Linked DNA regions of Solanum lycopersicum. The protein of the gene in region 5 interacts with the protein of the main gene of each other region in a pairwise test. Links are inferred from orthologs where the notes say so. Each region holds a gene or a part of one and is shown on either strand. Other genes may lie near its edges.

Region 1 (2,925 bases), on a different chromosome or scaffold from region 5:
CAAAATCCTGTTCCTTTCTTCTTGTTTTTTTTTATCTTCGTGTTTTCCCCAATTGATGCTGTATGTTTGAGAGTCCTACATCATTAATAAAAGAAGCACCGTATTTTAGTTTCCTCTCCCATTTGTTAGATGATATGGTTCTGAAAGTGTTTGGAGTTATATGGGAAAGTTTGACTTGTTCTTTAAATAATACTTAGTAGACTAGTGTGATGCTTCCACCATCACATCACTGCTTAAAATTGAATTGTTTAAATTCCATGTGTTATTATTATTATTTTTTTTAAAAAGAGAGCGAGATATCATTCATGTTCATCATTTCGGGAATGGAAAGATCTTCATGTTGATTGAGACGGAGTGGTTTCTTTAATTCTGAAGAGAATTAACTCTGTGCTTATTTGCAGAACCCAAGTTTGTGGTCAGTTATCTTCAGAACATCAGATCATCTGAGGAGTCATTGCGTGAACAGGTTTTTTATTTATTTTTATTTTTTATTCCTCTTTATTTGTTCATTGCTAAAATATTATTGAAGTTTTTTCTAATCATTATCTCATCTTTGCAATCTGTAGTTGGAAAGAGCAAAGAAAAAGGAGGCTGCATTTATTGTTACTTTTGCCAAAAGAGAGCAGGAGATAGCAGAGTTGAAGGTAAACTTGTCCATGTACATCAAATGATGGATTGCCTGTATAACAGATTAATTTTGAACTATCTTGTATACAATTTGTTTTTCTTTTGCGGCTATCTCAACAAAATTGAGCAGGATATTTGAACATGTTATCTTACTATATGGTGCAACCATGCAAGAAAACTATATGGAGCAAAAGATAATGATTTCACTAAGAAATTGAACTTTGAGTTTGTAGATGCTATCCAAGTTGCCAACTGTATGTTGTACTTTACTCTGAGAAAATGTCTCATCTTTATGGTGTGCAATGAAGCTTGCGGCCTACATTTTAGGGTAAACAAAAGCCTACTGCTAGTCAGATAATCTTTCATTTTCATTTTTGTCAATTGAAGAGATCTGTTATCTAATCAATACTAGAGATGCCCTTATGTTATACATCTAGTTTTATCCTCGACAGAACCTCTGATCAGATGTCATGTCTTTCTTCTCTTGGGGTGAGGCGAGTGAGAAGGCAATGGAATGTTGTTTTTTTAAATCCTTTCTTGTATGTATAGTATTGGGTGCTCTTTCCTTCATCTTTAGTTGCCTTTGTTTTAAAATGTATATATCCAATTCATTGTTTTCTCTTTACTTTGTGCTGATCAATTCTTTCTTCTTACTTTTTCTACTGGTGAATGTTTTAGTCTGCAGTTCGGGACCTTAGAGCTCAACTCAAGCCGCCATCTATGCAGGTAGTAGTAGTATCTTTGCTTACTCATTGTATAAAACCCAAAAAAAGGAGGGAGAGAGAGACTGTGAGAGTGTGTTATGTGCTATTCCCTGCTGTTGTTCAATTGTTTTGGTGAATTTTTCCAATTTGCTCCTTTAAAAAGGAGTTCTATGTGTGTAATCTCTGTGTTGTATGTAGCTTCTTTTTGTTTCACACAGTAAGTTGCTCATTCTGGTCATTTGGTTGTTGCTTTGCTAATTTTATGCATTCTGCTTAAATAATAAAATTGTTAGCTGGTGCTAGTTCTAGTTAAGGAATCTTACCAACCCGCTACCAACCTTATGCCCACATATTGGCCTGAGAATCTAATTCTCGTGTTAACACTTGTAACTCTAGTGCTGATCTCAAGGTTCTAGAATACCTATCAATTCCCAGTATACTCATTATGCTAGAAAACCACATAGCATATTGTTAGGGTTGTATATTGTAAGTTAGTATCTTGGGGTGGGGGTGAGGGGGGGGGTAGCTCAATTGACGAAGGTTGAGGGACTTGGTTCTTAGGTCACAAGTTTGAGCTGTGCCAAGTGAACTTAATCCAGTATTTAAGTGTAGAAGGTAGAGGGGTGGCCCCCTCACCCTTGAGTTTCAAAGGCTGCAGTTTTTGGTTATAGTTAAATGTAAGTTAGCAAGGGAATCAAGAAAGGAATGGTTTCATTTGTGTTTCTATTTTGTTGATACTTTTGATGCAAGTTCAGCTTTTCGCTTCCAGACTAATGGAGGAAAGATAACTGAAGGGTAAGAGCAGCATTTATCTACCATCAAACTGGCTGATAAGATAAATCTCCTTAGGAACTGCATATGGTGGCCTGTACCTCTTCTCTGCTTGAATCATTCTGCTTAACCCTAATGTACATCCTACCAGCTGGATTTGGGTCTTTAGTCTTTACGAAAAGATTGAGTCTTCAGTGGCTACTTGTTTCTTACTATCTATGCTACTAATTAAGGGGCAGATTTGTTTTTATTGTAATTAATTTATGAAGCCTGCACTATTTTCCAACAACACCCTCATTCATGATCACACAATTATCAAAAAGAGAGAAGATGTTAAAATTGTTACTGCATTTGATGGGTGATGATTTCCTTGTAGTTCAACTCTCCTTTGACAAGTATGCTCACAATCCGCATCAGCATCATAAATTTTTCCTCCTATTTTCTATTCCCATATCCTATTTTTCAAAGTTCATATTCATTCCGAGTTGAATTTACCAAGTTTGTATTATGCGTACATGCTTATGCCCCCTTAACTAGTTCTCTAAGATTTTGGTTCAAGTTTGCTCAATGAATGGCCTAAGAGATCTTCATGTTAGGTGAGAACAGATGATACTAAGAACAAAGTTTCAAGGAATGGATATAGTTCCATTAATTTTTTAAAAACAGCTTCCTTCTACTCTCTTTTTGCTTCTTTTTGAAGGTCTCCAGCATGTCCTTAATGCTGAGGAATACAACATTATCAATTTTTTAAAAAAATCCAGAAATTTAGAAGTTACAACCAGAGTTATGGAATTAAAACCTTTCTGTTTTTTTTTCTCTTTAT
Region 2 (4,217 bases), on a different chromosome or scaffold from region 5:
AAGGTAGTTTCAAGATTATTGAAACTGCTTCATCTTCATAAATTTATAAATGAGTACTATTACTTTCTCTCTTTTGATTTGATTCAAGGGTCAAAATGTCTTTTTCACTCTTATATATTATCGTGTGCTAAAATTTTGGGACACCACGACTTACTCTCATTTAATGTCTGCCTATAGATCTGTAAAATTGATAGGCCATTTCTTCCTTTAATTTTGTTTTTTCTTTCCACAATTCTATCTTTTTGTCTTGGGTACTGTTTATTGGAAAAGTTTTCTTATATACGTTCCTTAATATTCACGCACTTTTTTTTTTGAATAAGATCAAGTTCAACATTTATTGGATTATTATACCTTTTTAAAAAAAAAATATAATAATAATTACATAGCCTATCTTATTAGGTTCAACCATGGTATATATAGTTGTTTAGAAGCCACAAATAATACCTCAATTCCATTTACTAAAGATTTTGTTGGTGTCATTTATATAACAAATATTGTTTCTAGTCTCTCTCTTCAAATTTGTAATTATTTTATTTAATTTTTTCGTACTAGATAATATAAAAAAAATTTATGCACTAAGAATTAAGAAAATCAATCATTGAAAATTAATTCAATTAGCCAGAGCTAAGAATAGAAGTCTCGTAATTTTTAATTACTTGTTTAATTTTATTAATTATAAAATGATTTTTTCTTTTTGATTTGTGAAAAAGTTCGAAGAAAATATCAAAGAAAAAGAAGAGGTTATAATGAAATTTCGACAAAACTCCAAAAATAACCATTCAAATTGCTCTAGTACGCGGGGCCCACGCCGGCTCCATCTCCCGCAATTCCATAACCAATCCTTCACCACCATAACTCATCTCAAAACTCATTTTCCCTATAATATAATATAATATAATATAATATCATATCATATCATATCATATCATATCAAATACTTTTCCTTTACGTTATTTCACTACCACTTTCCACTCTCCAATCTAAGCTGAATTTGAGGTAAATTTCTACTCTACTTTGATCTGACAACTCCAACATTTTTTTTATCTGAAAATTTGTCTTTCGATCGAATTTGGTGTTGATTTTCATGGTTTAATGTATATAAACCCTAAGCTTAATTTTTCAAATTCAAGCTCGTCTAATTGCAGCATAGCATATTTCGTTTGGTCATTTTTCTATTCGACACAAAAAACTAAACAAAAGTGGGGAAAATGTGATTGATCACCGATATACATTTAATTAGTATATTTCTGTATTGCTTTGAAGGAATTCTGGATTTGGTTGATTCCTTTTTAAAACTCACAAAAAATTTTGTTGCACTTTACAACAAGAAAACTGAAAAAATACTCATTTGATTATTCATGAACGGTCCATTGCTTTTGTATTGATTGATTTTGTATTTTATTAGCAGTGTGAGAAGATGAGTAATTCCTTAGGGAATAACTTGCTGTACCAGGGATTCCTAACCTCAACTGTATTGGAACATAAAAGTAGAATCACTCCTCCTTGTGTTGGAGGCAATTCTTTATTTCAACAGCAAGTGATCTCGAAATCACCTTTATCAACTGAGTTTCGAGGTAACAGGTTAAGAGTGCAGAAAAACAAAAAAATACCAATGGGAAAGAAGCGTGCTTTTTCTACTTATCCTCATGCTCTACTTACCACTGATACCTCTTCTGAGGTAAATGCCCAACCTACCTATATGACAAGATGTGATTTTTATCTAGTTACAATTCAATCAGCTCCTCAACTGGATAATGTTTTCTCATTTATTAGTACATAGTTATCCCGTTTCTTGAATGTTTTGGTCATCATTTACTGCATATAGGCAGTTCTCTTCCTCTTTCCGATTTCGTCTGCTTGATTGCTTAGAAACCGGCTACTTAGCTTGGTTACACTCTGCATAAATGCGGATGATTCCTATAAGATAACTTGAACTTATCTTGTCCCTTTTTCGTTTCTCTTAATATTTCATTCTTGCATTATATTTGTTGCTGGAGTGGGACTCTCCTTGAAGATCTGTTGCTATGACAGATCCTTGTAAGTTCTAATATGAAATCATAATTGAGAATAGATGTCTAATTTTTCCTTTCAGTACTATCATATCCAATAAAAATAAAACTAGAGTTCGACATAGGAAACAAATACTGAATAGTTTATGTACTATGGGAATGTATAATGAGGTGAAAACAAAAGACAGATGTCATTTATTGGTAAATATGGAGCACAAGACTTGTAACTCAGAATCTTTCTCAAAAGGAAAAAAAAGACTCATAACTCAGCATCCATGACGCCGTGCAAATATCTTTCTAATATTACCTATTTTAAATGTTTTAACAGCTAGCAGAAAAGTTCAGTTTAGAAGGGAATATTGAGCTACAGGTACATATGTGGGACACTACCTTTGCAAAACTAATTTTTTATTAATGACTTTCTTGTAAAAGAGTCAGCCTATATGTCTTATGCTGGCCATACAAATTTTCTTCTGCACTATAACAGGTTGATGTTAGGCCTCCCACTTCAGATGATGCGTCCTTCGTGGATTTTCAAGTTACAAATGGTAGTGATAAACTGTTTTTGCACTGGGGGGCAGTAAAGTTCGGGAAAGAGTAAGTTTAATTACAAATTGAACTGTCATCATTTTGAGAGACTTAAGCTTGTGATGACTAATCATCCTTATATTATTCTCTATATGATTATCTTAGAACATGGTCTCTTCCTAATGATTGTCCGGATGGAACCAAAGTGTACAAGAACAAAGCACTTAGGACTCCATTTGTTAAAGTAAGTTGGAATTGGTTTTGCTGCTCTCATACATGAATGGATTAAGTTATGATGCAAAATTGATGATTTTTGGTTGTTGAAATTTTACTCTTAGTCCGGCTCTAACTCCATCCTGAGACTGGAGATACTGGACACTGCTATCGAAGCTATTGAGTTTCTCATATATGATGAAGCCCGAGATAAATGGTAAATGAGTATCTTTGTGAAGGAACAGCATAGCATTATGGTTAAAGAGCTGCATGGATTTCACCTCTGTTTCTTCTTCAGGATAAAGAATAATGGTGGTAATTTTCGTGTCAAATTATCAAGAAAAGAGATACGAGGTCCAGATGTTTCAGTTCCTGAGGAGCTTGTACAGATCCAATCATATTTGAGGTGGGAAAGGAAGGGAAAACAGAATTACACTCCTGAGAAAGAGAAGGCAAGTAACTTATTCCTTTAGTCCCACACCTTTCTGGGGAAGTCATACTGCAAGTTGTTGGTAGCTAACATCACTGAGTTGATCATTTCAAATTCTCAAGCCTTTATTTTCTATTGACCGAGCATTTTGACATTGGCATATGTTGTAATTCTCAACCCTAGTTCAGGATTTCTATGGAACTTAGCTTGTCAACTATATTTCTGTGCATTCCTATCCATGAACACAAACAACCATTTAATCTTTGTTGATGTTATTTGCATGCTTTCTCAGAATATATCAACTGGTTGTTTGGTTCATGGATAGGAAGCCATAGGTGATAGGACTATTATTGCTCCCTGTTGCAGATACTGTTACTAAGGAGTCAAGGCATTGCTTTCTGATTTGCATTTTGCCCATGCTAAATACGGTGGGGTTGGTTTTAGGGAAAATTTTGTACAAGACTAGTGGTGGCTCAAGTTTACCATAAAATTGTTGTTTTAATTTTAAAAATTCTAGTCTTAGAGTCAACAATTAGGCTTTAAATTTTAATCAAGTACAATCAGTAAGCCAACTTTGACATGAAATCAAGTCTAAAGTCTATGAATGAGTATGACCAGTTCTTTTTTTTTTGTTTTCTTTTTTTAAGGTAAGAAAGGCTAGATTATTATCCAGTGTGGATGCATATAATTACAGAATGTGTAGTTAGTCTGTTAATAGCCAGGAAGTAGGAACCAGTAAAATAAAACAAAAAGTCTGTATCATCTATATAAGTAAACTACACCATAAAGCAGCAAGTTGTAAAGTAGATTATCTCAAATTGTTTGATGAATTTCTCCCAACATAAAGATATCCAATGTTTCTCTTCGTCCAGGTGACCAAAAAATATGAAGAGGTCTCATATTCCATATACTGATGTTGCTTCTTTTTCTTCCCTCCATTTCCAATTGAACAAGAATAGTTTCAGAGATTTTGCCATCACCCAAGACCCAAAATAGGGTCAATGACATGTATTGAGTTGCTAGAGCACAAAGCTAAT
Region 3 (3,979 bases), on a different chromosome or scaffold from region 5:
GAAAAATTTCCGCACATATTCTCTTAATGCAATCCTGTATGGAGAATCTCCCTGTTTACCTGTTGAGCTTCATAATTTTGGTATAAGTTATTATGTTTTGTGTTCATGTGATGGATTGTTCGTTATTTCAAAAACCTGGTATAATAATGACATTGAGGATCTGTTTCTATGGAATCCGTCTATTAGAAAGTTGAGTAAACTTCCTTATTCAGGAATTGATGTGTTCAATCGTAGATTTGCTTATGGATTTGGTTATATTGAATCTCAAAATGATTACCATATTGTTGAAATTGTGGCAAGTAAACCTAGTTATCTCATTGCTGATATTAGTGTTTATAGTTTAAGAAATAATTCGTGGAAAACCATTCATGAGTTCCCAAGTATCTCTTTGCCTGAAAATGTTAAATTTATTAAAGGAAAGTTCCATTGGATCACTGGTGGTGGTAGTGGTAGTAACGCGACATGGTTCAACCCCGGAGATGAGGGGTTTGGCAATGTAGCATTGCCGAACCCAAGTGGTGACACTTGTAACTGGAAATTAGTGTCTTCATCTGGTAATCTATGTATGACTTGTGACTATAGAAACAAGACAGATGTGTGGATAATGAAGGAGTATGGACTTGCAGAGTCGTGGACTATTGTGGGTTCGATCCCTAAATTTGTAAATAAGGTGGTTTGGCCGATATTCATCTCTCATAATGATGAAATTCTATTGCAAGACGTTTCAGGTTTAGTGTGGTGGTATGTTTCACGAGATGATGACAGTGTTGATCGTCCTGAGGATCAAACACGTTGTGAATGTGACCGTGGAAGCGAGCTTAATCTATATGTAGAAAGTCTTGTTTCGCCAAATTCTCCTTGAAAAGCGAAAAGCTATGGATTGAGGAGTCTATTGAGGTAAGAAATGGTACCCCATCCATTTCTCAGTATGATATGTAAATAGACAACTCTTGTAGAATAATTGTGATTATCTTTCTTCTTGTTGTTGTTTTCCATGTTGGTGCTATTTAAACTCTGAAATATAAACTCTGTTGTGTCCAGTTTTTCATATCCTGTCTCAATTTTTTGCCAATAATAAATCTCTTCAAGTGTATCGAAGATAGCTATCTCGTTAGTGAATCCAGATGGTGCTCATATGTAATAAAACGAGACAATTGATACATAAGCATGTAAAAACAGGAATAACAAAGTGGTTGAAGTTTGGTTCAACACGAAGAGTCTAGAATCCATCGGGAATAGTCTCTCTCCGGCACAAGGTAGGGATAAAGTTTGTGTACACCCCTTAGATCCACCATGTGGGATCATAGTGGTTATGTTGTTATTGGTGTTGAGGATGAGTCATACATGTTAGAGAGTAATGAAAGAGCACCAATGTAGCTAGCAAGTTCAAAGCTGAAAGCTTAATAGGGGGACTCGAACAAGACTTCTCATTAATAATGAAAGAATACTTACCATTTCACCATAATTCTTGTTGCAAATATCAAATTATTATGTTCAATAGAACTCGGACAGATAAGAAAAATTAAAATATTAAAGCCCACTGCTGCAATTGTAAGAAATTTAGAATATACCCATACTGGTTTTAAAAATGGGCCAAGACTAAATTTTAGTACTAGGATGTTTATGTGGTCTCCAATAAGACTGGTCTTTGGACTCTACAATTGATATTGGCCTGTTAGAACCCTTGAGATTTCATGTTGATTCTCCTTTGGGCTTTTTATCCAGTCCTGTGTGGATTTCTCCTCAATTTTTATTTCTCTATTTATGTTACAGTGTTTAATTGAACAAGAAAGAAGGAAAGATTTTTGAAATACGTGATCTAAAACAAATCTAGACAACTAGACGTTCTCGATATAAATTATCTTATCAAGACTAAAATTTGAAGTTTTAAGTTAAATTGTTTCTAATAAAACATTTTTTTCTGAAACAGACTAGAAAAAAAATATGATAAGAACTAGGACTGTTCAAAATCGAATCGAAATTGATAAGCCGAATCGATAAAAAAGTTATTGATTTATAGTATTGAGTTATTGGTTTAGTGATTTTGATAACGATTTTGATTTTTTTTGTTATCGGGTTATTGGTTCTTAACGGTTTAAAGTTTTTTCTTAATAGGTTAACCGATAACCCGATAATTAATTTTCTACTTTTATTTTTAGTTGTCTCAAACACTTGATTATTCTACAAAGTAAAAGTGTTTGCTTTTGAGCAAGATGTAACTTGTGAACTCAAGTGCATGGTTTATTTGATTTGTCATTTTGTTTCAAAGTGATTTTCAATGTTTCTGCTTTTGTGTCAAATCTTAATGGTTAAATCGATAACCGAACCGATAACGATAAAAAACTGATAAATTAATAACCGATAAGCCAATATCTTAATGGTTCTATAACAATTTAGCATCTCTATAAATCGATAACCAATAAGCCAATCCGATAAACTTCAAAACCTAATAAAAACAGATAGAAAAATCGTATGCCTAACACGTCGCTTCTCATTTCAACTTTCTTACAAAATATCAAGCACTTGACATTTTAGAACTCTTAAAAAGAAAACAAATATGTCTAAGTCAAACTAAGATTATATTATCAAACCTTTTACGGCAAAAGAAATAAGCTAGTCCACGTATAATATAACAAATACATCTATTTCTATTATGTAAGAAGTGTATACATAAAATCAATAAAAATCTTCAACCAAGTCTATTAGGAGAACAAGTTTTAAATCAATGGTAAAGTCATTTTCGTAATACCTATAGATTATAGATTCGAGCTGTGAAATTAGTCGTTGATGCTTGCATAACTTTACCAAGCTGTTCAACTTTTAACTAATAGTCTATTTGGCAAAGCTTTCGGGAGGTCAAAAAATTTATTTGTTATTTTCGAAGGTGCTTTTATACATATGTAACTGCTTTTCAGAAGCTAAAAAGTAAATTTTTGTTAAAAACATTTTTTAGATAAATACAATTATAGTTTTTAAAAGTTTCATCAAACACTAATTATTCTTTAAAAATTTCTTGTCCCACAAATTATTTCTTATCAATTAAGAAAAAAATGGCCAAACAAATTACAAAGTTAATTACCTATCAAATTATGATTTTTATAAGACCCAAAGAAAATCACACATAAAAACAAAAGAAGCAAAAAATCTAGATAACTTGATATTCTCTTTATATATGTGGCTCCTATGTAACCAAAGTCTATCAAGTTGATTTTTATAGATACTCAATCCAATAGTGTCACAACCTCATATCAAACTACATTTCCATTTCTCCCTTTCTTCTAAACTTGACATCCCTCTTCCTTTTGTGGCTATTCTTGAAAAAAAAAATCTTTAATCTATGGCTACTCTCACAAATTTTTTGCTCAAACCCTCTCCAAATCTAGCTTCAATTACAAAAATTAGCCCTTCACTTTACTCCAATTTCCCTTTTGAGAAATCCAAACAATCAATTTTCAAGAACCTCAAAACAAACAAGCCCTTATTGATTACAAAGGCAACAGCAGCACCTGATGTTGAGAAAAAAGTGGCTAAAAGTGAAAGAGTACAAAAGGTTAATAGTATGGAGGAATTGGATGAAGCATTAAAAAATGCGAAAAATCGACTAGTTGTGGTTGAATTTGCAGGCAAAGATAGTGAACGTTCGAAAAATATTTATCCTTTTATGGTGAATTTAAGTAAGACATGTAACGATGTCGATTTCTTGTTGGTGATCGGAGATGAAACGGAGAAGACTAAGGCACTCTGCCGGAGAGAAAAGATTGACAAGGTAATTTTAGAAATTCACACGTATTATTACGTCTGTTTCAATTTATGTGACGATAGTTTAAAAAAATAATTACTTGTGGATCTTTATGTTACCTGCATTGAAATGGATGGAGATATACATGAAATATAACTTAATTAGTAAAAAGATTGGTGTATATCTAATATATATAATGGATTGAGTATGACTAGATCTAGCTTTCGATAAGAGGCGATT
Region 4 (3,034 bases), on a different chromosome or scaffold from region 5:
TGAGTTTTGGCTACCAATACATATTAAATTAATTTGGATTTCATGAATATTTTTTTTATTGATTTGGTTGGTAGATGTTTCGTGATGAACTAGAAAATGATTCAACTTACTAACGAAAAAAAAAGAGAGTACATTATAGCATTAAAAAGAAGGTACATTATAGTGTATGGGTAGTTAAAGTGGTTCATTAAGCCACAATTTTTAATTTGTTTTAGCATCAGAATGTACACAAATAAGCAAAGAACACCTAAACAATTAGCATGGAAATTATATGTTCACTAAACCAGATGCCTCGTGATGAGAGGAACGAACTGTGATCGAAAAAAGAAAACTCGAGGGACATTTTTCGCTTCGTTGAATTTCAGAAAGAGACTCGCTGTTGCGGAGAAGGGGAGGGGACATTACCATCACTAAAATGAATTTCATGATGAAAATATGATATAGTCTTCATGTGATAACAACTAGGAAAAACTGACAATTAGGAAATAGGACTAGATCCCCTGCAGATTCTCCTGCCTGTACAACCCACCATACCCTTTTGTCCAAAGAGTTTCTGCCACCATTCCTGAGATGGACTTTCTCCAACCCCACCCAACATGTATGTATTCATAATTTCACCACTTTGGAGGTGTATTTTCTAGTACATCCTGGACATACCATACTGAACAGTCCCTACTTTCCTATGAGCTGCACCACTAGTAGCTGCTGCCGCCGCAACTCCAATTCCACCATATTGGGATTTAGCCTGCAATAAGTTTGTGTCTATGGTGATTCGGTCATCAACACGATCTGGTTTTGTAACTCCAGCTCGCATCATATAGAATGGGTTGCTATCAATATTTATAGCAATATCTGGGGCTAACTTAGCAGCCATTCCACATGGTGCCATTGGCTTTGAATGACAATTCATATCCCTCTCTGTCTCAACAGACCTTTCTTGTTTCACCACCCCACTTCTGTCGTAGCTGTAAACTGAAGACATAATCTGAGGGGGGCCTACTGCATTCCTGACTTGAGACCTAGGATCATATTTTTCTCTATTTCCCGAATCATAAGCCAAACCGGGACCAACAACTTTTCCTGGTTTGGCTGCTGGATTTAAATAGAAGATTGTGAACCATATGAGCATCATTGGAAACATCACAGTATTACAGAAAGTCAAAGTAGAAAAGTATTTCATCATTGACGGAAAATACCTAAAGCATTTCTTGGCTGAGCCTGTAGGGTTCTTGTTAGACTACTTGCAAGGCCTTCAGAATCTCTGCAGTTTCTACTGCAAGACTCTTCACCATTTTGTCGGTCTCTCATATTGGCAACAATAGGCTGTTCTTTCAAAGGGTTTGGATTTGAATGTACAACTGTAGACCTGCAATAGAATCACCGTGTTATCATTTCTAACTTAAAATAACACCAAACAAACAAGTTATACAATAAACTTTTGATTCATTCATCTTAAAAAATGCAAACCAAAGACTGACAGATATTGTATGATTGCATATACAAATTTACATCTGAAGCCAAAACTAAGATGCATATAAAGCATGAATTTAATAAGCAATCTAGTATTTGAATATCTGAACTAGTGATGGCCCGATTAAACATACTATGTAAATATATAGAAGGATATTAACACAGAATTGCAATTTTATTTTTATTTTTTTTTGGAGAATGGTAACTAACACAGAATTGCAATATAAGTGCATGCAGGGAACGTCCCAAGCCGAAACATCAACTGGTTTCCCTAATAGCACCAAACATCCAGTCAACTCAAATTCTTTATACCAAGTTGTCATATAAAAGGAAAGATTTGATCTTCTTCCTAGAATGGTAACTAACACAGAATTGCAATACAAGTGCATGCAGGGAACGTCCCAAGCCGAAACATCAACTGGTTTCCCTAATAGCACCAAACATCCAGTCAACTCAAATTCTTTATACCAAGTTGTCATATTTGATCTTCTTCCTAGATTAGACGATGTTATAAAGGAGGAAATTTGAGCACCAGGACTCATAATCACCTTGGAAGAGAGACATGCTTCCTGTCCATCGGAACCACTGGAACGCCATTACCACCGTTCTCTTCCAAGTGAGCGAACTGTTTCCTGAATTGATCAACAGCACTGCAAGGAAAAGCAATATGTAGTCAGTAATCCTTTGTTTAGACGAGTAAGCTGATGCACAAATGTCAAGAAAAATATACTACCTCGGATACAGAAAATTAGTCCTTTCTACACCATTCAAGTAATCCTTCCTCAGCTGAGGATGATATTCTAGTATCTCCCGGAATATTAATTCCCTGAGATCCTCCTTCGTCACTCTTCGCCTCTCAAATTCGAACTCCATTTTTGAAATTGACTTGCATGATGGTTCCCTTTCAGATTTAGCCAGACCCTTAAAATAAGGATCAGCTAGTGCCTGATTTGTTGGGTGGGGGGTGTATTAGTAATTACCATGCAAGAGAACAAATTATACTAAAATATCCAAAAGAAAAGCTCAAAATTAGTATGATCGGCATGCTAACACGAACCTCCTCAGCAGTGGGTCGGTCCTTGGGGTCAAAAGCAAGTAATCTTTCAAGAAGTTTAAGGGACAAAGGATCAGCATTTGGAAATTTCTGAGCAAAAGAAACAGGCTGCTTCTTTCTCATGCTAGTTAGGTATCTCCTAGCCTTGTCATTACGCACCTGCAACAGCCATAAAAAAGTCTAATGAGAAACACAAGTTTTGAGGAAAAATTGTCAAAAACGTAATGTTAATTGAATTCACATACACGAGAAATTGTATCCATTGAAGGCGTTCCAAGCAGATCAGTCATTAAATCCAGTTGGTGAACTACATTTTTTCCAGGAAAGAGCGGCTTCCCCGTAAGAACCTCAGCAAAGATACAGCCTATGCTCCATATATCAATTGCAGGGGTATACTGCAAGCAGAAACCATCAAAATTTGTGATAGTCAGAACTACATGCAGTGCAATGATTATAAACAAATTCCAGGAAAATTGACACTCTACTATGAAGGGTGATTGACCTCACAAC
Region 5 (4,163 bases):
AATACTCAAAACAGCTTATTTTAAGTTAAAAAAAACTTATTTTAAGCCAAAAGTTAAAAGCTGGTGTTGGGGTGCTTTTTTTCCCAGCTTATAAGCTGTTTTAAGTTGACCACATTTTTACCTTTTTGCCCTTAATATTTTTATACAATCTCCAAATTATCCACGTAACCCTAACATCTCTTTCTTCTATTTTTCCCTTTTCACGTGTGGATAATAGACAATTACTATTACTAATGAATGAAAATAAAATAAACCTTAAATCTTTCAAGTGATCTATTCAAATTATATATTATTAAAATGTAAAATAAGTTGCACATATAACTTAAATAAAAATTTATATTCCTCTTATAAATAATTTGTGATAATAAAGAAATATGTGAATGATAGACAATTATTATTACCTATGGATGAAACTAAAATAAAATATTAAATCGTTCTTTAATCTATTCAAATTATACATCTTTAAAATCTATAATAAGTTTATATTCCTCTTATAAATAATTTGTGATAAGAAATAAATATGTGAATGATAGCAAAATATAATTATTTATGGCTATAAAATATAAATTAATTAACTTTTATTATGTTAACAACTTTTAAGGGTATTTAAGACATTTTGATTTAAAAAGCTGTTTATCAGCACTTATTTGCCAAACACATCAACAACTTTTTTTTTAACTTCAGCAATTTTATCCAAACGCACAACTGCTTATTTTAAAAATAAGTTTCAGCACTTTCAAAATTACTTTTTTAAAGCTACTTTTATTAAGCTCATTCAAACGGGCCCTTAATTTTGAATAAGTGACTGAGAAATCACTTCCAGTTCACTTTTACTTTTTCCTCTATTAAATAAATATGCTCAGAAAAGCAGTAAAATAAGTGGAATCAAGCATGTAATAAAAGTAATTCATTTTTAAAATTAACGTTTAAATTAAATCGGAATTAACAACACGAAAATAAATTACTTTTTTTTATGACAAAAATTAAAAGACAATGATTTGATTGTTCTTTGATCCAATAAAATTAATTTCCTAATTCCCCAAACCAAAATATTTATTAAAATTTTTTCGAGGTTGACCCACTCTTTAATAATACTTCTAATCAAATCAAACAACGCCACGTGTACAAACCTCGACATATGGGCCATCATGTCTTCCCCAATCAAGACCACATTTGATCCATTTGTCCAAATGACAAAACCCTTAATAAAGTCCAAACCCTTAAAGCACAATGTACAACCAAACAATGCATTGTACCCCCTTTATATCCATTATATAAATACACGGTTTCCGTTATATAATAACGACAGAATTTGACGGCGTCAGTTCCTCCTATAAATACCTCTGCAAATTTTCCAATGTTGTTTTCTCTTACTTTGTCTTCACTCTATTTTTGTGCTTTTTTCATTACATTTACATATATTCTCCATCTTCTTTGTTCTTTCTCCCTTCAATTTTTGTTTGTATTTGAAATTTTATCAAATTAAAAAATTGTCGCCGGAGACTCGCCGGCTCCGGTGAATATTTTTCTGGTGATTTGGTTATATATTTCTTCAAGATTTGCAAAAGGGTATCCAAAAATAGCAAAAAGGAAGAATTTTGTTGAAGACATTTTGAATATTTACTGAAGGATTTAAGCTCAGTTTCTGCAAATTTTGTTGTCCATTCCGAGGTATGAATACCCTTACAAAAAATTGCTTTTCGATTTGCTTATCTTACTTTTCATTTTAGTTTTTTTAAAAAAAATTCGACAACTCTTTATTTAATACGTACATCTTAACAGTGGCGTAGCCACATATAATGAAAAATGGTGAATTAAACACCCTACAACGGAGACTTATATTATATATATATATATATATATATATATATATATATATAAATTTATTTAAAAAATATATTAATTCTTGAATGCTTACCGTGAAACACATTTTACAAATCTTTAGAACTCGTTTGGAATGATTTTTCATTTTTAAGTTATAAGTAAAGAAAAAAGCTATAAGGTAAAATTATGATTTTGTCTGATTTTAGTTTAAAAACTAAATGTTTATAAGCATTTTTACTAACTTACACAGATGCTCTAACAATGTTTGAATCTATTACCTCGAAAACATATAAAATAAGTCAATACAAACAGGTTTTTAAGACTAAAACTATGAGATTTAAAAATATTTTTCAAATCTCATAAATATTATTTCGAGTCAAAATCAAATAAACAAATTAAAATCGACACATAAAACTAATTTTTTTTTTGTTTTGGAGGGTTGGGTCACTATCAAGAGTGTTTGTCTGTATGTAGAATCAGTGGCCGCTTTCAAAACTCGACAATGTCTATTAATTTATACAGCGATTTATCATTCATTCTATACTCTGCTCCTACTCCTATTTTTTTCCACTTTTTTTTTTTTACTTTTTTATTTTATTTTTAAAAAATATGTTATAATTCATTAATAATGATGAATTATCTGTCAGAAAATTCGGCTCTGGTCATTGATAATTTTTTTTAAAAAAATTAAGGTCTGTTTTTTCTTCTTCTTTCTTTTAATTATGAATTTTCTTTATTTATCTATACATTAAAGCAATGTTACAGAATGAGTTTTTTTTTTTCTCTCTTTAATATATTAACAAACACATACTCTTTTCCCTTTCTGTTTTAACTTCTTTTCTTTTTGTCTTTTGGTAGATAAATTACAACATTCATGTATTTATTTTTTCATTAACTTCATTTTTAAAAACAACTTCTTTTATCTATAAGATAAAGCTAAGATATACGTATATTTTATATCATACTTTGTAGGACTACATTCGGTATACGTTAGAGTTTTCTTCTAATATTTGAGTTATTTTTCATTTAGAGAATTCGATTAGGTCAAATGAACACTGTCCTCAAGTAACTGTTTGTGTGTGTATAAGTATATATATATATAGGTAACACAGATCCCGCTTTTTTTTTTTGTTTCAGTCAAAAATCTATTGAAAATAATCTTTTATGTATTTCCAAAGTGCGATGTATATTCAAATTTCTCTATTTTATGATATCATACTAAATTCGTTATTGTTGTCGTAGAATTAGTATTAAGATTGTCTGGTTTTTATGTGACTAAAAATTGTCAATGTTTTACATTATTTTCCAAGAAGAAAAACAAAAAAATGTATACTAAATTGTTTCTCTCACTTTTCATTTTAATTTTGTTTCAAACAAACTTTGCTTTTTATATTTAGTAAACTTTTTAAAATTCAACATCTCATCTAACATACATAAGTTAGATAATAAGATTCAAATTTGCAACTTCTGTTAAATTATGCTAAAATTATAATATTCAAAATTCTCTCTCACAAACGTAACGAAATATCCGTTTTTGTTATAAATATATGTTTAGTGAATTTTTTTTGGCATAATACATATATTGGATCCTAAATTTGGCTTCAAATTTTAACTTTGACATTCAACTTTCATAATGTACAAACAGACACTTTAACTATCCAACTTTTGAATAAATAAACTCATGAGTCCTACATGACACAATACATGTAGGACAAAAAATGACATGTGTGTATTTGTTCAACTTTATACATGTTTAAGTGTCTATTTGTGTACGCCCAAAGTTAAAAAAGACATAAATTTAAATGTATTATATCTTTTTTTTTTACTCTTAACTCATTTTAATTATTTTTTGTAGGAGAAAAGATATAGTAAGGGAGAGTGTAGGAGAAGGATGTTGACATGTATAACGTGTAAGCAAAAGATAGAAGATGATGGAGGTGAAGAAGGACCTCGTGGCCGTGCTCCTACTCCCCATACTAAAGATTCCATCAAAAGCCTCACAGCACAGGTACTATTTTTCTACTTTTGAAATTTCATTATAATAATCTATTTCGAATATCATATTTCATTATTATTATTAAGACGTTTGTAGTTTGAAGACGTGATTTCCAGCTCCGCGAGATAGTGATACAATTGGTATAAATTTTCCCTCTCTCAGATCCTACTTAGTGAGATTTTACTGAATATATTCCCGTTACTGATAGTAGTGAAGGCACGAGTGAGACTCTTCACTATTCAATCAAACCCTTCATTCGAGTTTTGACCCTCATTTGTATGGTTTAGAGAGGCTTATTTATCTTATAATTTCAGATGTTATTTCGATTTAATAATACCGTTTA
Region 6 (3,402 bases), on a different chromosome or scaffold from region 5:
AATTAAACACTAAAATTATTTTAAAAAAATATTTTTTATTCACCGACAAAAAATAAAAAAATAAATTCAAAATCTACTTATTTTATAAAAAAACATTTTTCATCAAAAATATTTTCTCACTACCAAGCACACCCGTAGTACTTGTATGTTTTCTTATCGAAAGATACTCGCTCCTATTTTAAAATAGGTTTCATATACAACAATTTGAAGTATGCATTTGAAAATTTAAGAAGTCCAAAATATATACTTAAGCAATTTAAAAGGTCCAAATAACAATTAAAAGAGTTCTAATTCACTCTTATCTGACTATTAAGGGCCCGTTTGGATAGGCTTAATAAAAGCAGCTTTAAAAAAGTATTTTTGAAAGTGCTGAAACTTATTTTAAAAATAAGCAGATATGCGTTTGAATAAAGTGCTGAAGTTAAAAAAAAGTTGTTGATATGTTTGACAAATAAGTGCTGATAAACAACTTTTTAAATCAAAATGTCTGAAATACCCTTAAAAGCTGTTAACATAATAAAAGTTAATTAATTTATATTTTACAGCCATATATAATTATATTTTGCTATCATTCACATATTTCTTTCTCATCACAAATTATTTATAAGAGGGATATAAACTTATTATAGATTTTAAAGATATATAATTTGAATAGATCAAAGAACGATTTAAGATTTTATTTTAGTTTCATCCATAGGTAATAATAATTGTCTATCATTCACATATTTCTTTATTATCACAAATTATTTATAAGAGGAATATAAATTTTAATTTAAGTTCTACGTGCAACTTATTTTACATTTTAATAATATATAATTTGAATAGATCACTTGAAAGATTTAAGATTTTTTTTATTTTCATTCATTAGTAATAGTAATTGTCTATCATCCACACGTGAAAAAGGGAAAAATGGAAGAAAGAGATGTTAGAAATATGTGGGTAATTTGAAGATCGTATAAAAATATTAAGGGCAAAAAGGTAAAAATTTGGTCAACTTAAAAACAGCTAAGCTTAAAAAAAAAACACCCCTATCCCAACTTTTAACTTTTGACTTAAAATAAATTTTTTTAAACTTAAAAAATGTTATTTTGAGTATTGCCAAACAACTAAATAAGTTAAAAATCAACTTTTAAGTCAGTTTGACCAGCTATTAAAATATGTTGGAATCGGAAATAAAAGATAAGGTTAGAAAAAATCACCAACAACATTTTGACTATTTTCTATGAAAGATAAGAAGAACAAGAGACAATTAATTGTAAAATAAATCGGTCCTGAATGTAAATAATAACTAAACTTGTGAACCATATCATCTTGGACTGTCAAGTCTTGTTTCACTTTTGATCCCAAAATTGCTGCTACTGTGTTAGACAATGGCCAACAAGGTTTCCAATTTCTCGGATCTGATCCAACGTGTCACTGCTTCTTGCTTGCTCCACCCACTTTCCTCCAACGGCCACATCTCTGGTGCTCGTGACGCCGACGAATCTGAAGATGACAAGTACACTACCGAAGAAGAAGAAGAAGAACACTCACCTTATGTGGAAACTCTGGAAAAATTCCAGAATTTCGAGGTAAAAAATGAGGAGATAAGAACTGAGAAAGTAAATGAAATGGAAATGCTTTTAGGGGAAGTGTTTGATGCAGTGTCGGCAATGAAGAAGGCTTACGTTAGTCTACAGGAGGCGCATTGTCCTTGGGATCAGGATAAAATGCGCGTGGCTGACGTGGCTGTGATATCTGAACTGCGAAGGCTTGGAGTGTTGAGGGAAAGATTCCGGCGGAATGTCGGCGGTGGAAGTGAAAGAGGGGACTGGAGAGTCGGGGTGGCGACGCTGAGAGAAGTGGTGGCGCCGTATGAGTCAGCCGTGGAAGAACTGAAGCAAGAGGTGAAGGCAAAGGATATTGAGATCGATGATTTGAAGGAAAAGCTAAAAACGGCGACGTTGCTTAGCAGCAATAGTGGAAAGAAAAACAAGTCAAAACGGAGAGTTAACTGCAGCAGTCAAGCTCCAGTTAATATGTCGCCGGCACCTGACCTGTTCGAATCTACAGTGAGCTCAGTAAAAGAAGCCTCAAAATCCTTCACGAGTATGCTCCTCTCTTTGATGCGCTCTGCTCACTGGGACATTGCGGCGGCAGTGAGATCCATTGAAGCTGCTTCATCTAACTCCACCACACCAACGGCGGATTCAATTGTCGGAGCCAACCATGCAAAATACGCACTGGAATCTTATGTGAACCGCAAAATGTTCCAAGGATTCGATCACGAGACGTTCTACATGGACGGAAGCTTGTCATCACTCCTCCACCCAGACCAGCACCGCCGGGAGTGTTATACACAGTACAGGGACATGAAAGCCATGGACCCAATGGAACTTCTGGGAATTCTCCCAACTTGTAGTTTTGGGAACTTCTGTTTCAAGAAGTATTTGGCCATCGTGCATCCTAAAATGGAGGAGTCTTTGTTTGGTGATTTGGAGCAGAGGCGTCAGGTACTGGCTGGGAACCATCCGAGGAGTCAGTTTTACGGAGAGTTTCTTGGGCTAGCAAAGGCCGTTTGGCTGCTGCATTTGCTGGCCTTTTCTTTGGATCCTCCGCCAAGTCACTTTGAGACAAGCAATGGATCGGAGTTTCACCCCAAGTACATGGAAAGTGTGGTGAAGTATTCCATTTCCATGGGGATAGGAGGGAGAATGGGTATGGGTCTAGTTGTCGGGTTTCCAGTTAGTCCCGGGTTTAAGCTTGGAAATGGATCAGTTGTTAAGGCTAGGGTTTATTTAGTCCCCAAAAATGGGTTTTAAGTTTGGGATGGACATAAATTAGTCATGCATTACTTGCCTTGTCTATGTATTAGTCGTATTAGTTGGTATCAAAATAAAAACTGATATATTTGACTTGGGGATCTTTTCCGTGCAAAACAATGATTGAAATTATGTCTTTTGTTTGCCCGGTAAACTTCAAAAGGTTAGTATAAGTTTTGCTCCAGTAGACTTTAAAATGTAATTTTTGCGCGGCTTTGTGAAATGAATCTACCACCTATATAATGGGTATCTTCGAACCTTAAGTTCCCTTTTACTAATTTTTGCAGTTTTGGTACAACTTTGTGCATGTTCATCTTTCTTTTCTTGTTACTGATACAGTATGCTAATATTGGACTTAGTTTATGATGCTTTGAGTAAGTTGATAAAAGCCCCTTTTTTTGGGTCTAGGCCACTGGCCGTAGGATAGAAATTCTTTGTATATGTATGACATTCATTTTCTTTTCAAGATCAGTCCTGTGAACTTTTCATGGTTATTGTTTTTGACGTTTCATTGAACATATAGGGTTCCATTGCAGCTGGAAGCTTATATTCGTTCTATATAATGTAGTCAAACAGAAGGATATAAAGAAGACTGACTTTC
Region 7 (4,064 bases), on a different chromosome or scaffold from region 5:
GTGAAATTGAATTCTTCGGAAACTCCTGTATGATATCGAATCAGGAACGCATGAACAATTATATAGAGAGAGTATCAAGAAATGTTTGAATCGTAGTTTCTATTAATATAAATTGAATTCTAATCTCGTGATTTAGAATTATGAGAGGATGAAACTTGCCATGTTGTTAATATAACATACCAAAAAGTGTTTTGTAAGTTCAGAACCAATGCTGCAGCAAGTGCAACCGCTAGTAAAACCTGTTTTTGATAATTAATTTTCGGTTGCAATTTTGTTTTTCTAAAATAAACAGCGTTCACTATCAACATTAAAAATCTTAAAACATTTAATATTATTATGAAAATTATCAAAATAACTTCCAGATTCAATTGTCCTTGTACACAATGGATCATTGTACATTTTATACATTTACATATGACATAATAATAAAATATATAATGTCTTCAAACTCCTCCTTAATCGATATCATTTGTAATATTAGAAAAAACACAAAATCATTATTTAATGCTAAAAATCAGTTAAAATCTTTAGTGGCGATATTATGAGCTTATATGTCGACTTTTATTATCGCTAAAAGCTTAGTTTTTAAAAGTGAATTCTAGTTAGCAACGCTTAGGTGATGGGATGTCACTAAAATTTTGAGGTATTGACTTTTAAAAATATTTGTGGTTTTTTAAAATAACATTTTTTATTTTAAAATATAACGAACGATTTAAATAATCAAATTCACATGATTCACAAGCATTTTTGACCCTTCTCTATCTTATTAATCATTTTGACATTGAAAAACATTTCACTGGTTCCAACAATACAATATGCTTCTTCTGATCTAATATAAATGAATTATTGGTATGCGGACACATTCCTTAAGAAAGATATTTAAAAACATCAATTAAACAATAGTTTGTCCAACATTATCCTTTTTTTTTCTTCTCAAACTCTTCTTAAAAGTAGAATAATCATTATTTGAGATTTAAAAATAGCTGAAAACTCCACTAAAAAAAGAGGGATGATTTATAAAAAAAATAAATTAATATTTTGTTGAACTTTGTAAAATTCATTCATTATAAATCATAAAAGAGAGAACATCAACAATTCGTTTGTACTTTGGTTTTTCGATTACCGAACATAACTAAGAAAAAGAATATTTAATTTCAATATGAGGATATTTTTACTAGAACTACACTTATTTTGGAACGGACCAGAGTAGTGGATTTGCCACTCATTTTGGAAGGCTTAGCCATGAAATTGTGGAGAAAGTCACGCATATTATTCTCTTTCTTTTCATCCAATGATTAAAATACACTCGTAAGGATTTTTTCGTTTCCTCTTATCACATTCGGTTTTCGAGGATATCTACAAGAACTCATACGATAATGAGTAGCTCAACGTCAACGTCATCGCCATTTAGTCGTAGCAGGACACGTTTAGGGAAATATGAATTGGGTAAGACATTAGGTGAGGGAAGTTTTGCTAAGGTAAAGTATGCCAAAAATATACAAACAGGTGAAAATGTAGCCATCAAAATCATCAATCGTGATCGCGTCCTACGACAAAACATTATGGAACAGGTACCCCCCTTGCCCTGTACACACATTTTGCATCCAGGGCCAGATGTAGGCTATTGCGTACGTTGGCTCAAACGTTGTATATATATGTTATGAAATTCAATAAAAATGTGAAAAAAATCAAAATTTAGAATTCAGTTACTAGCATTTGAGATCGTTGTGAAGTCAAAAGTTTTATGATGTGTAATTGAACTAGTTAGCACATAAGTAACTGTGAAAATGTACGTTGTCATGTTGTTTTTTGTTCTGAATAAAGGGAATGAAAGATGTTAGATGATGAATTTCTGTTGCAAATTTCTTTTGATTTTCGAAAGGAAGGGCGATTATGTGATCTATGATGTACTTTGATTGATAGATTAAAAGAGAAATATCAACGATGAAGTTGATCAGACATCCAAATGTCGTGAGGATCTTTGAGGTATGTCGTAAAACATACAATTTATTTGAGCATTTCTCATTTCCATGTCAAGTTATGGCGATTGAACAAGCATACACATGATTTTGCTTCCATTTTTTCTAAAGTTTTGAAGTTACACGTGCTTATCGTCTTGAGTGCTTCATATCTTTGTTATAACAACAATAACATATCCAATGTAATCTCATAAAATGGGGTTTGGAGAGGGTAGACTGTACGCAAACCTTATCCTTATCTCGTAGAGGGTAGAATATTGCTTCATATATTTGTAATTCTCTTTATTCTAACTCTGGTTACATATTAGGTTATGGCTAGTAAGACGAAGATCTATATTGTCCTCGAGTATGTACATGGAGGAGAGCTCTTTGATGAAATTGTAAGTTTATTTTTATAAGTTTTCGCTTGTATTGCAACGAGAATGTCCTTATACATAAGATATATTACAGGCTAGACATGGAAGACTCAAAGAAGATGAAGCTAGAAGATACTTTCAACAGCTTATTAATGCCGTTGATTACTGTCATAGTAGAGGTGTTTTCCATCGAGACTTGAAGGTTTCTGACCCTTGATCGCATTCTTTTAGATACCAAATTTTTTTTTATCTTCACGATTTGGCTAGTATTAATATTGAGTTATGCGATTTGTAGCCTGAGAATCTATTGCTGGATTCATTTGGTATTCTGAAAGTTTCAGACTTCGGATTGAGTGCACTTTCCAAGCAAGTTCGAGTAAGTATTCTGTACGATTGAAAGAGGTTAAAGAGTATATAAAGAGCTATTCACTCTGTCCCTCACTTCAATCGTATTCACTTTTTAGTATTATTGATGGAATACTCTCAACGTTATTCAGGACGATGGACTGCTTCATACTGCTTGTGGCACACCTAACTATGTCGCCCCTGAGGTAACAACAACCTTAAGAGTAGTCATTACTAGTTACTCCCTCCGTTTCAATTTGTTTGTCTTGCTTTCCTTTTCAGTCCGTTTCAAAAAAGAATGTCTTTTTCCTTTGTTGGCTAACTCTTTGATCCTAACTTCCGACATGAGATGTTTAAGACTGCAAGATTAAAGGACATTTTGGCGATTAAGATCACACAAATCATAAGGCTTATTTATTTTCTTAACTGTATGACAAGTCAAAACCAGATAAACAAATTGAAACGGAGGGAGTAGTTGTATCTTACTGTTTGCTGTCTTTAACAAGAAGTGTTGTATCAGGTGCTAACTGACAAAGGCTATGATGGTACAACAACTGATGTCTGGTCCTGTGGAGTCATTCTCTTTGTTCTAATGGCTGGATACTTACCTTTTGATGAGCCAAACCTAAATGCTCTATACCGAAAAGTAATTTCTGAAAGTTTCAAATGATCAGAGATGTTTCTGGAATTCTTCGTTCGTTTATTTTCAGAATGTTGTCTGAATAATTTTGCATGTATATTGCTGTCAGATCCTGAAGGCTACGTTTTCACTTCCACCATGGTTGTCCTCCAGCTCAAAGAATCTGATCAACCGTATTCTTGACCCGGATCCACTCACAGTAAGTCCCTTTTATCTTTGCTTAATTTACTGTCTAGAATGAGTTATTGACATGATACATAAACAGACGGTTTCAACTGGCAAGTAAACACTCCAACTTTGAGTATGTGTATCTAGACGCACCTCAACTCGTCTCCATTGTATAGTTGAACACTCCACTTACAGAATGATTATCTATACACCTCTAAATTTATGTGTCACTTCAACAATGGGTGTCCACGAGATATAGTGGGGACGAGTTAGAGTGTTTAGTTGTCAGTTGAGACTAAGTTGAAGTGTGTTGGTGTGCAATCCTCTCCAGTTGAGGTCAAGTTTGAGTGTCTATTTATGTATTACGATGAGTGATTTCTGATCTTTTGTTTTAGAGGATCACTATTCCAGAGATCCTCGAAGATGAGTGGTTCAAGAAAGATTACAAGCCGCCTCCTTTTGAGCAAGACGAAGATGTCAATCTTGATGACATTGATGCCATATTCAATGGCTCGGACGTAAGTCACATTTTCAACTATGTTTATAATCTGTATCGAGAACCAAACATCGTGTGTC

The links.
Region 1: the proteins of protein BREVIS RADIX (region 5) and FKBP12-interacting protein of 37 kDa interact in binary tests that used the Arabidopsis thaliana proteins (3 or more experiments, as listed by UniProt). The link is inferred for Solanum lycopersicum from reciprocal best matches to the Arabidopsis thaliana genes BRX and FIP37.
Region 2: the proteins of protein BREVIS RADIX (region 5) and GWD interact in binary tests that used the Arabidopsis thaliana proteins (3 or more experiments, as listed by UniProt). The link is inferred for Solanum lycopersicum from reciprocal best matches to the Arabidopsis thaliana genes BRX and SEX1.
Region 3: the proteins of protein BREVIS RADIX (region 5) and thioredoxin-like protein CDSP32, chloroplastic interact in binary tests that used the Arabidopsis thaliana proteins (3 or more experiments, as listed by UniProt). The link is inferred for Solanum lycopersicum from reciprocal best matches to the Arabidopsis thaliana genes BRX and CDSP32.
Region 4: the proteins of protein BREVIS RADIX (region 5) and MAPK12 interact in binary tests that used the Arabidopsis thaliana proteins (3 or more experiments, as listed by UniProt). The link is inferred for Solanum lycopersicum from reciprocal best matches to the Arabidopsis thaliana genes BRX and MPK20.
Region 6: the proteins of protein BREVIS RADIX (region 5) and protein GRAVITROPIC IN THE LIGHT 1 interact in binary tests that used the Arabidopsis thaliana proteins (3 or more experiments, as listed by UniProt). The link is inferred for Solanum lycopersicum from reciprocal best matches to the Arabidopsis thaliana genes BRX and GIL1.
Region 7: the proteins of protein BREVIS RADIX (region 5) and CBL-interacting serine/threonine-protein kinase 9 interact in binary tests that used the Arabidopsis thaliana proteins (3 or more experiments, as listed by UniProt). The link is inferred for Solanum lycopersicum from reciprocal best matches to the Arabidopsis thaliana genes BRX and CIPK9.

The regions. Positions count from the first base shown.
Region 1 is NC_090802.1:59,708,002-59,710,926, reverse strand, and holds part of FKBP12-interacting protein of 37 kDa, read left to right. Parts: intron 1-401; coding exon 402-466; intron 467-566; coding exon 567-644; intron 645-1,305; coding exon 1,306-1,353; intron 1,354-2,925. UniProt on the Arabidopsis thaliana protein: Probable regulatory subunit of the N6-methyltransferase complex, a multiprotein complex that mediates N6-methyladenosine (m6A) methylation at the 5'-[AG]GAC-3' consensus sites of some mRNAs.
Region 2 is NC_090804.1:305,270-309,486, reverse strand, and holds the start of GWD (glucan water dikinase), read left to right. Parts: upstream 1-1,417; coding exon 1,418-1,678; intron 1,679-2,337; coding exon 2,338-2,379; intron 2,380-2,496; coding exon 2,497-2,606; intron 2,607-2,702; coding exon 2,703-2,781; intron 2,782-2,875; coding exon 2,876-2,967; intron 2,968-3,048; coding exon 3,049-3,202; intron 3,203-4,217. UniProt on the Arabidopsis thaliana protein: Mediates the incorporation of phosphate into starch-like alpha-glucan, mostly at the C-6 position of glucose units. Acts as an overall regulator of starch mobilization.
Region 3 is NC_090803.1:67,684,140-67,688,118, reverse strand, and holds the start of thioredoxin-like protein CDSP32, chloroplastic, read left to right. Parts: upstream 1-1,179; 5' UTR 1,180-3,337; coding exon 3,338-3,766; intron 3,767-3,979. Other genes in the region: F-box/kelch-repeat protein At3g23880, read left to right, coding at 1-862. UniProt on the Arabidopsis thaliana protein: Probable thiol-disulfide oxidoreductase involved in resistance to oxidative stress. May participate in the reduction of alkyl hydroperoxides derived from oxidative stress by acting as a physiological electron donor to the BAS1 peroxiredoxin.
Region 4 is NC_090806.1:66,716,894-66,719,927, reverse strand, and holds the end of MAPK12 (mitogen-activated protein kinase 12), read right to left. Parts: intron 2,920-3,034; coding exon 2,770-2,919; intron 2,684-2,769; coding exon 2,528-2,683; intron 2,416-2,527; coding exon 2,204-2,415; intron 2,121-2,203; coding exon 2,019-2,120; intron 1,367-2,018; coding exon 1,197-1,366; intron 1,093-1,196; coding exon 638-1,092; 3' UTR 501-637; downstream 1-500.
Region 5 is NC_090807.1:62,148,378-62,152,540, reverse strand, and holds the start of protein BREVIS RADIX, read left to right. Parts: upstream 1-1,363; 5' UTR 1,364-1,671; intron 1,672-3,679; 5' UTR 3,680-3,715; coding exon 3,716-3,832; intron 3,833-4,163. UniProt on the Arabidopsis thaliana protein: Acts as a regulator of cell proliferation and elongation in the root and shoot. Regulates roots architecture and primary root protophloem differentiation.
Region 6 is NC_090801.1:62,847,449-62,850,850, reverse strand, and holds protein GRAVITROPIC IN THE LIGHT 1, read left to right. Parts: upstream 1-1,370; coding exon 1,371-2,801; 3' UTR 2,802-2,902; downstream 2,903-3,402. UniProt on the Arabidopsis thaliana protein: Required for red (R) and far red (FR) light-induced and phytochrome-mediated deregulation of negative gravitropism leading to randomization of hypocotyl growth orientation.
Region 7 is NC_090804.1:62,292,181-62,296,244, reverse strand, and holds the start of CBL-interacting serine/threonine-protein kinase 9, read left to right. Parts: upstream 1-1,264; 5' UTR 1,265-1,376; coding exon 1,377-1,571; intron 1,572-1,923; coding exon 1,924-1,986; intron 1,987-2,287; coding exon 2,288-2,359; intron 2,360-2,429; coding exon 2,430-2,537; intron 2,538-2,630; coding exon 2,631-2,711; intron 2,712-2,832; coding exon 2,833-2,886; intron 2,887-3,200; coding exon 3,201-3,326; intron 3,327-3,429; coding exon 3,430-3,519; intron 3,520-3,883; coding exon 3,884-4,006; intron 4,007-4,064. UniProt on the Arabidopsis thaliana protein: CIPK serine-threonine protein kinases interact with CBL proteins. Binding of a CBL protein to the regulatory NAF domain of CIPK protein lead to the activation of the kinase in a calcium-dependent manner. Involved in K(+) homeostasis under low-K(+) stress.